Coturnix japonica: one gene and its partner. The protein of the gene in region 2 interacts with the protein of the main gene of each other region in a biochemical or structural test. Links are inferred from orthologs where the notes say so. Each region holds a gene or a part of one and is shown on either strand. Other genes may lie near its edges.

Region 1 (4,452 bases), on a different chromosome or scaffold from region 2:
AGGACATGGAGTTTGTATTATCATGAGCGCGTGTGTAATATACTCTCAGCTCCTTAGGGGATAGCAGACTATTCTGCTGTCTCAGTGAGACCAGAAAGGATCTCGTTTAAAATGGTACCGCTATCAGGAGCACATGGGCACAGCCAGCTCCATTATCCAGCATATTACCCACAGAATGCTCTTCTCTTAAAAGGTGGGGAAGGGGCAGTAGGGCTGGATATCTTTGATGTGCTATGATGTCTCTTCCATTTCTTTGTTACTAAAAAAAGAATAAAGCACCCTGAAGCCCTGCTTCCAATATGAGGCCTCAGAGAACTAATTTTCATTGCAACTCCGTGCATGAAGACCAACTGTACAGGGGGAGACCCACAGGTCAGTGTAGCAAATGTGACGTTTGCTGTGTTGGGTGCTCAGCTGGTTCTGTTAAGGTGGCTTCTAGGGTCATCTTCCTTTCCCAGCAAAGCCACCCCTTTCCCTCTGGTCACCAATGACTATATGAGGAGTTGGGTAGATGCAAATAGCTGAGTGGACAAGTAATATTGCAATGAATTAAATTCAATCTCTAATAAATATTTGTAAAAGCTACATACAGCTGAGGCATAGACAGGAACGTCAGTTACAATAGGCTGTCTTATCCTTCTCTTTACCTGTCCTCACGTAATTCTCAGTTAAGAGCAGAGTGTCTTTATAATACAAAGATGCTTAGAATTTGCTTAGAAATTGAAGTGTAATGCGCCATATTTCATCAAAAACGTTGTCACGGGCCCAGAGGTAGCAAAAATTGTAAAGAGTTAACCTAAAGCCATGGGGAATGCAACGTATTAAGAGCTAGGCCAGGTCAGAAATGATTCCAGCTTTTGTAACTGCACGAGAGATGTTAGGGCTGGTAGAAATGTCTGCCTGGTCATTCTGGGACACTGGTGAAACATCACTGTGTTGTGCTGCTGTCTGAGAGCAGCACTCTGCAAGTATCAGAGGCAGCAGTAAGAAGGAGAGCTGCTATCTGCTCTGGTTTTGCTTTCTGAGCAGAGTGACGTGAGATGTAAGAATAAATATGTGTTTTTTCTCCTGTTTTATTCTCAAACATGTGGTGACTTGGGGGGACAGTGTCAGTCTGAAACTCAGAGTTTGTGTCATCCTCCAGCTTCTGTCCCAGCACCTCCAGTGTAAATGATTTTTGCACACCATGTTTTGAAATGAGCACCGATTCCAGTTCCCTTATGTCAGTTCACGTTATAGCCTGTATGCTTTGTCATTTTCTTTGCTTGATTCAGGAACAAAGAGGAGCAAGGGGTACTGGTGCATGCAGGGAGGAGATAGAGAGCTAATGATACAGAGTAACCTTACGTAATCTTTCCATTTCAGTTTCCTGAGGTGTTGTGTTTGTTGGTTTGTTTTTTATTTATTTTTACTTATTTACTTGGCAGCGGAATGCTCCAGGACCTCTTTCAGCTTGTGTTTTGGATCAAGTAGCTGCTCAAATGCCCGGTGAGAGGAGACAGCGGCTGGGAACAGGCAGCCCAGGTAAAATCCTCATCAGAGGCACGCCTGTGCTCCTTGGCACTGGGGGAGGAGGCCAGGGGACAACATTTGGGGCCCTAAGAGCGGCCCGCTCACACTGTAGCCCAGCCTCCAGCTGACGGGAGGTCTGTGGAGAAACCGGCACCTTTTGTAGCAGCCCTCCCTCCTGCACAGCTCCCCGCTGACATCTGCCCGCAGGGTGACCGCTTTTGTACGGAGGGAAGAAAGCCGGCGGCACGGCAAAACCCGCGGCTGTTCTATGGAAGGCAGGGCCCCATGGTCTCCAGGCCCCGACTCCGGGTTATGGAGCAGACTCCCGCACTGCCCCCCACCTCGGCCCGGCCCAAACCCGCCCGGCCCCACGCACCGCAGCCGCCCCCCGCCCCATGGCGGCCTAACGCCGAGCGGGGAGGCGGGCCCGGAGCCGCAGCTGGCACCTCCGTCGTCCTATCGCTGCTCTCCCTTTGCACCGCTTCACCCAATCAGGAACGGCAGAGCGGAGCGGGGGCGCCAAAGCCCCTGAGTGAATAAAACACTCGGGGCCCGTGGGCGGAGCGGGGCGGGGCCGGCGCCGTGACGGGAAGCGCCGCGCGGGCAGCCCGGCAATGAGGGACGGGACGGGCGGCCAATGGGCGGCCGGGGTGGGCGTGGCGGGCGGCGGGGACCGGAGCCGCTGTGTGGAGGGGGGAGCGGCGGCGCTGCTCAGTGGCGACGGGCGGCTCAGGAGGCGCCGGAGGGAGGCGGCTGCGGCCGGCAGGTGAGCGCCTCCGGGCCGCGGGGCGGGGTGAGGCCGGGCCGGAGCCGCGGCGGGCGAGGGGCCGCGGGCGGGGCCCCTGGGGGGAGGTTGGATTACGGGCGCGGGGCGGCGGAGCCCGAGGGGATCGGTGGGGGCCGCGGGCGGCAGCGCCCCGGGGAAGTACGTGAGGGGCCGAGGGAGGCGGCGACGCCCTGCGGCGTCAGCGCTGGGCAGGGGGCGGCGGGCCGGGACCGGGGTGGGGCGCCCAGCGCGGCGCAGGTGGAGCCGGGGAGGGCGGCCGCGAGGGCCCGGCGGCGGGTGGGGAGACCCCGGAGTCCCCGGCCTCGCCGAGCGGTCCCCGGCGCTTCCTGCTCCGCCGCCGCCGGCTGCACGAGCCCTACGCCGGGCCCCGCGTCTGCGCGAGGGTCCCCGGTGCCTCCCGACCCGCTACGCTTTGTAGCGGCCCCGGTGCGGGACGAGCAGCCCTCGGCCCCGGCCCGGCGGGGTGCCCTCACCGTGGGGGAATCCTGCGGGGCCGAGGCGCCCGGCGCTCGGTTCGATGCTCGGTGGGAGCTGTTAGAGCGGCCCCCGAGGTGAGGATCGTGTCTTCCCACCTGGGAGCGCGGCTCTCGGCTTCGCCTTCCTGCGTGGAGCAGCTGCACAATGGGAGCTGTTATCGGGCAGAAGGCGGCGGGGATGGGCGAGCAACAGCGTGCGGCTGGGGCCGGAGGGAGCGGCGGGCGGACACGGCCCAGCTTCGTTTTCGGGAGGGTTAAGCACGGCTTCTGTTTGCAATGCGCTTCACTCATTTCATTTCATTGCACCGATGGAAGCGAGCCGGCCTGGCGAGCGACGTGGTACATCCCTCAGAGGAGAGCCCCTGCTTCGCAGCAGCCCGGCTCTGAAGCTCCCTCAGCCCGGTGGATTTATGTAACCTGCTCATTAGTGCTCCGTGAAGTGATAAGGGAGCTCTTGCTCGGATTCCTATTCAATGCGTGTGTTAATGCGTTATCGAGGGTCTTGTCAATGCTGCTCTATCAGCCGTCTGCATTGGGAGACGCTTGTAACCACCACAGCGTCCGGCTGTCATGTTGGTCGTGTTGGTTTTGTGGTTTTCATTCTTGGCTTTCTTGCCTCTCCAGCTGGGGTCCGGTGTGGGGGGGTGAGACAGAAGGCACAGTCATTCCCTTTGGCTGGAGTACTACTCCAGCTATGGCTTGGAGAAAAAGTGTAAATACTGAAATGGATTTCTGACTCATCACTTCTATTTGACTTATTGATCCATGGTTACTGCTAACGTGCTCTCTACGATTATGCAGAAGTTAATAGTTACCATAGAGCAGTGGTATTGTTTTTCTGCTTGTTAGTGTGTTTTCCATTTCTTCATCTCTTGGCAATTCTCTGTGGAAATGCTGCTTTTTTTTTTTTTTCTTCCTAGCAAAAATCTCATGGAAGGGATACAAAAAATAATGTGAGCAAAGTCCAAAAGAACAAATGTGAGATGTGTTCGTCCTTGCCCATGATTCTGAAGTTGTTTTGATAGCCTGGGTAATGCGGCGCTGAACTGTTTCATCTGTAGCTGAGGAAGGTGTTGGTTTTAAGGCTCAGTGAAAACTCTGATGTGTACAGCTCCAAACATAACACATCAAAGAACTTCTCTTCCTTTCTAAAGCCTAAAGAAGAAACACAATTCAGATAAAACATTTAAATCCTTATTAGCTGACAACTTATTCTTCAGCCTGGGAATGACTTCTCTGCACTTATTACTGCTCTCGAATGCATGGAAGATGAAGGTGCATGTAAACAAGGCAGAGCAGACACATTTATCTACTTATTTTGGTGTTGTAAATCCCTGTGGCATTGCTCTGGTAGCTGACAGCATTATGTGTTGAGGAAGAAGAAAAACAATCCAAGAAGCCACGCTGGGCTCTCAGAACTCACGAGACTCCCAGCATTGCATTTCATAGCATGGTTTAGCTGCTTGGTGTTGGAATGATCTTTAAGTACTTTTCTTTCTCCCATAATGGGAGCGGTGGGTGAAGAGCTTGCTGAAATAACAGTAAAAATCCATGGAAAAGTACTTAGCTCCCCAGTAATAGGGGCTAGAAGGAATACATACTGTTGGGCAGCTTTAATAGTGCTCTTAGCAGCTTGCTTCAGCGCTCCATAGGGCTCTTGAGTTCTGCCTGAATTCT
Region 2 (3,803 bases):
TCTGCATTCCACCCGCTAATGCCCCAGCCTTGGGAATTAATTTACCTTGAGTTCCTCTGGGGCAGGAGCATTTGTAGGTATTGATGAGATCGATGCAGGTTCCTCCATTCTGGCATGGGTGGGACAAGCACTCATTGATCTCCTCTGAGCAATTAACTCCATGATAACCAGCCACGCACTGTGAGGAGAGGAGAGCTGTCAGAGACCTTCACCCAGCTGCTGCACGGTGCACAGGACATACAAACACCTGATCTATTCCCAATCCACCTGAGTTACCACTACCCTCAGAAAGAGCCCAACACGAGAGCAGCTCTCACCTCACAGGAGTAGCCCCCAAGGTAATCCGTGCAGGTGGCTCCGTTCTGGCAGGGGTTTGGGGAGCACTCATCCACCTGCTCCTCGCAGTAGCTGCCGGTGTAGCCGGCCTGGCAGCGGCAGAAGTGAGTGTTGCCACTGTCCACACACAGCCCTGAATTCCTGCAAAGATGAGCGACGTCGATACCTGCCAGGGAGAGCAGCAAGATCTCAGTGACACCCAGAGAAACAGCTCATCCCAACACAGTGACATTAATCCTTGGGAGACCTGGGGAACCCCAGGCCGTGCACAGGGAATGATGGCAGGGATGTACCTTGCTGCTTTGCAGCCACCTCGCAGGAGACACTGGGGACATCGCAGTAGAGCCCAGTCCAGCCGCTGTTGCACTCGCAGCGGTACAGATTGTTGGTTTGCCAGCACTTGCCCCCATTTTTGCAGGGTGAGGAGTCACACCAGCGCACCAAGTTCTGTGCAGGGAAAGCAAGGGGGGAGATCAGGCCCAGAACAGCTTCTGTAGGATGAAGCCCCATCCCTGCATACGGGGACCCCTGGAATCTTCTCACTACCTGGCAGTTGAGCCCAGTGTATCCCTGGGGACAGGTGCACTTGTACGTCCCGTAGCTGTCCTGACACGTGCCCCCGTTCAGGCAGGGCTTGGAGTCACACTCGTTGATGTTGTGCTCACAGTAGCTGCCCGTGAAGCCGGATGGACAGAGGCAAGTGAAGGTATTGATGCCATCCACGCAGGTCCCCCCATTGAAGCAGGAGCTGGGAGCACAAACACCACATCCTCATGAGTCACCCCCAAGGGCTGACACTCTTGGTACTGGATGCCAGCCCCGAAACCCCTCCAAACCCATGCAGGGACCCCAATCCCACACTGGCAGTACCTCTCAGTGCAGTCCGGCGTGTTGTTCTCACAATGGATGCCACTGAAGCCAGAGGGGCAGGTGCAGGTGTAGCTGTTGACACAGTCAGTGCAGTTGGCCCCGTTCTTGCAGGGGTTGCTGGCACACTCATTGATGTCCTCCTCACACTTGAGCCCACGGAAGCCAGCCAGGCACTCACAGAAGAACGTGCCAATGCCATCCGAGCAGGAGCCACCATTGTGGCATGGATCTGGAAATGGGGCACACATGCATTAGGTGCAATGGGTCCAGCCCTGGTGTTATCCCACACACAGAGGGATGGGACAGAGGCCAGCCCAGCCCCAGCTGGGAAAGCACAAGGCACATGGGACACACTTGCTCACTGCCTGCACGTCACCGTCCCCCCCAGCCTCCTTCCTGCCAGCCACCACCTGGCCTAGATTGACGCAGCCTCACAGGGATGGGGCTGGGACATTCCCAAAGCCCAACAGGCCTGGACCCACACAGAGACACAGCTTTCTGAGCACGGGGAGGCTGATCCATCCCTAGAGACCCCACACAGCCCCAGGTGCCCCTGGTTCTTACTGGGCTGGCAGTCATCAATGTCGGTGTCACAGTTGCGGCCTGCGAAGCCCACCCGGCACAAGCAGCGGTAGCTCCCGTTGGTGTTCTGGCACGTGGCCCCATTGCGGCAGGGGCTCTTCACACACTCATTGATGTCAATCTCACACGTCTGACCTGCGGGACAGCGGGATGGGAACCACGTGAGCTGGGGGGCACTGGCAGAAGCACCAGGGCTGGTTGCTGTGCCCCAGACCCACTTGGCAGAGCAGGCTCACCTTGCCAGCCGGGTGGGCAGCTGCATGAGAACCTCTTGTAGTCCTCCGACTCCCGGCACTCGCCTCCATTCTTGCAGGGGCCGCCAGCACAGGGGGCCAGTACGTCCTCACAGGTGGCTCCTACACAGGGACAGGTGCCCACTGACCACCTCCCAAGGGACAGTGGTGACTACGCAGCCTCCACCTGCCCTCAGCCTGCTTCCTGCAGGGCCTGGGCTGCCCATCTAATCCACAGCCCTCTCCTCCATCTCCATGACCCCTGGCCCCACAAATCTTTAAACTCCTGCAATCTGGGCCTCGTTAAATGGCTGCACATTTCCTCTGGACGGGAAGTGCTGCTCAGGGTGTCTTTTCCCCCCTCCCTCTCCGTTGCTTTTCCTGTTTACATCCAGTCAAGGGACACGTTCCCTCCTAACCCTTATCTTCCCTGTCAGCCAGTATCTCCTGAACTGCCCTTTGCTATTTTCCAGAGCCTTCCCCTCCGCTCCTGCCCTATCCTCATCCCTCCCCCCCAGGGGTTTCTATGGCCACTGCCGAAGGCAGGAAACAGCTCATGGCTTCCTGCTATTGTGCTCTGGCTGCTGCTCTGTGCGAGCGGAAGTGAGAGGATGGCAAACAGGAATCAGCTCAGCAGAATTGCCCGGCCCCGCAGCCTCAAACTGCTTTTTCCAACCCTGGGCACCACGGTGGGAGAACCAACAAGGCCCCTATTGCAGTGGGGTGGGTTCCCAGTGCCTCTGCCCTCTCCAGTGGAGGAAGACACCAGCTGTTCCTCAGTGAGCCTCTCAGTTTCCTCCAGCTGTGCTGTAGCACAGGGGAAGACCTGGGAGCAGAGGGACCTGTCTGCAGCCTTATGGGAGGGCTGAGGGGCTCCTGCCCCCTCACCTGTGTAGGGCAGGAGACAGTTGCAGGTGTAGCCGGCCACGTCGTCGATGCACGTGCCTTGGTTCAGGCAGGGGTTGGAGGCACATTCATTGATATTGGTCTGGCAGTTGGGTCCTGGGTTAGAAAAAAGGAAACAGAGCTTTAAAAACAGGGTGGGGCGGAGTCAGACGCATAGAGAACCTCCTGCTGTCAGCTGAAGCCATGGGACCACAGACTAGCAAAGGTCCTCAACTCCCTCCTGAAGTAGGAATCTCCATCGTGCCTCCAGTGACACCTCTGCTCAATGGCGAAATCCTTCTGGAGCTCCCACCCAGCCCCCGGCACAGGGCAGTGTCCTCAGCCACATCCTTACCGCTGAACCCCTCCCTGCAGGTACAGATGTAACCGCTGGTCATATCCTTGCAGGTGCCACCATTCATGCAGGGGTTGGATTCACACTCATTATTGTTGATGTCGCAATTTGTCCCGCTCCAGCCCGGGTCACAGTCACAGCGGTAACTTTGGGGAAAAACAAGAGGATAAAGCAGAGGCTTTGGTGCCACCTGACCGTGCTTTGGTGCAAGCAGTGCTGTGCCCCAGCCTACCCGTTCAGCCCGTCGTGGCACCTCCCGTGGATGCAGGGGTTGCTGTTGCACTCATTCACTTCAGACAGGCACTTGGGGTCGTGGAAGCCCTCGGGGCAGATGCAGGTGAAGCCGTTGATGCCATCCTTGCACGTGCCCCCGTTGTGGCATGGGTTGCTGGCACACTCATCGATGTTGATGTTGCACATGCGCCCTGGGGAAGAGGTGAGCAGCAAAGTGTCAGTTCTAGCAGGGACACTAAGGGTGCATGGCCTCCTGGGGACACGTAGAGTCCTTCAGATACTGCAAGCTCAGATCTCTAGGCACACAC

Evidence for each region.
Region 1: the proteins of NOTCH1 (region 2) and NUMB form a complex in vitro, tested with the Homo sapiens proteins (2 studies listed by BioGRID). The link is inferred for Coturnix japonica from reciprocal best matches to the Homo sapiens genes NOTCH1 and NUMB.

The regions. Positions count from the first base shown.
Region 1 is NC_029520.1:23,486,888-23,491,339, forward strand, and holds the start of NUMB (protein numb homolog), read left to right. Parts: upstream 1-1,425; 5' UTR 1,426-1,524; intron 1,525-2,166; exon of another isoform or gene 2,167-2,278; intron 2,279-2,416; exon of another isoform or gene 2,417-2,437; intron 2,438-2,722; exon of another isoform or gene 2,723-2,850; intron 2,851-4,452. UniProt on the Homo sapiens protein: Regulates clathrin-mediated receptor endocytosis. Plays a role in the process of neurogenesis.
Region 2 is NC_029532.1:6,325,134-6,328,936, reverse strand, and holds part of NOTCH1 (neurogenic locus notch homolog protein 1), read right to left. Parts: intron 3,687-3,803; coding exon 3,494-3,686; intron 3,408-3,493; coding exon 3,262-3,407; intron 3,024-3,261; coding exon 2,910-3,023; intron 2,145-2,909; coding exon 2,025-2,144; intron 1,924-2,024; coding exon 1,771-1,923; intron 1,436-1,770; coding exon 1,207-1,435; intron 1,085-1,206; coding exon 883-1,084; intron 784-882; coding exon 630-783; intron 503-629; coding exon 318-502; intron 179-317; coding exon 46-178; intron 1-45. UniProt on the Homo sapiens protein: Functions as a receptor for membrane-bound ligands Jagged-1 (JAG1), Jagged-2 (JAG2) and Delta-1 (DLL1) to regulate cell-fate determination.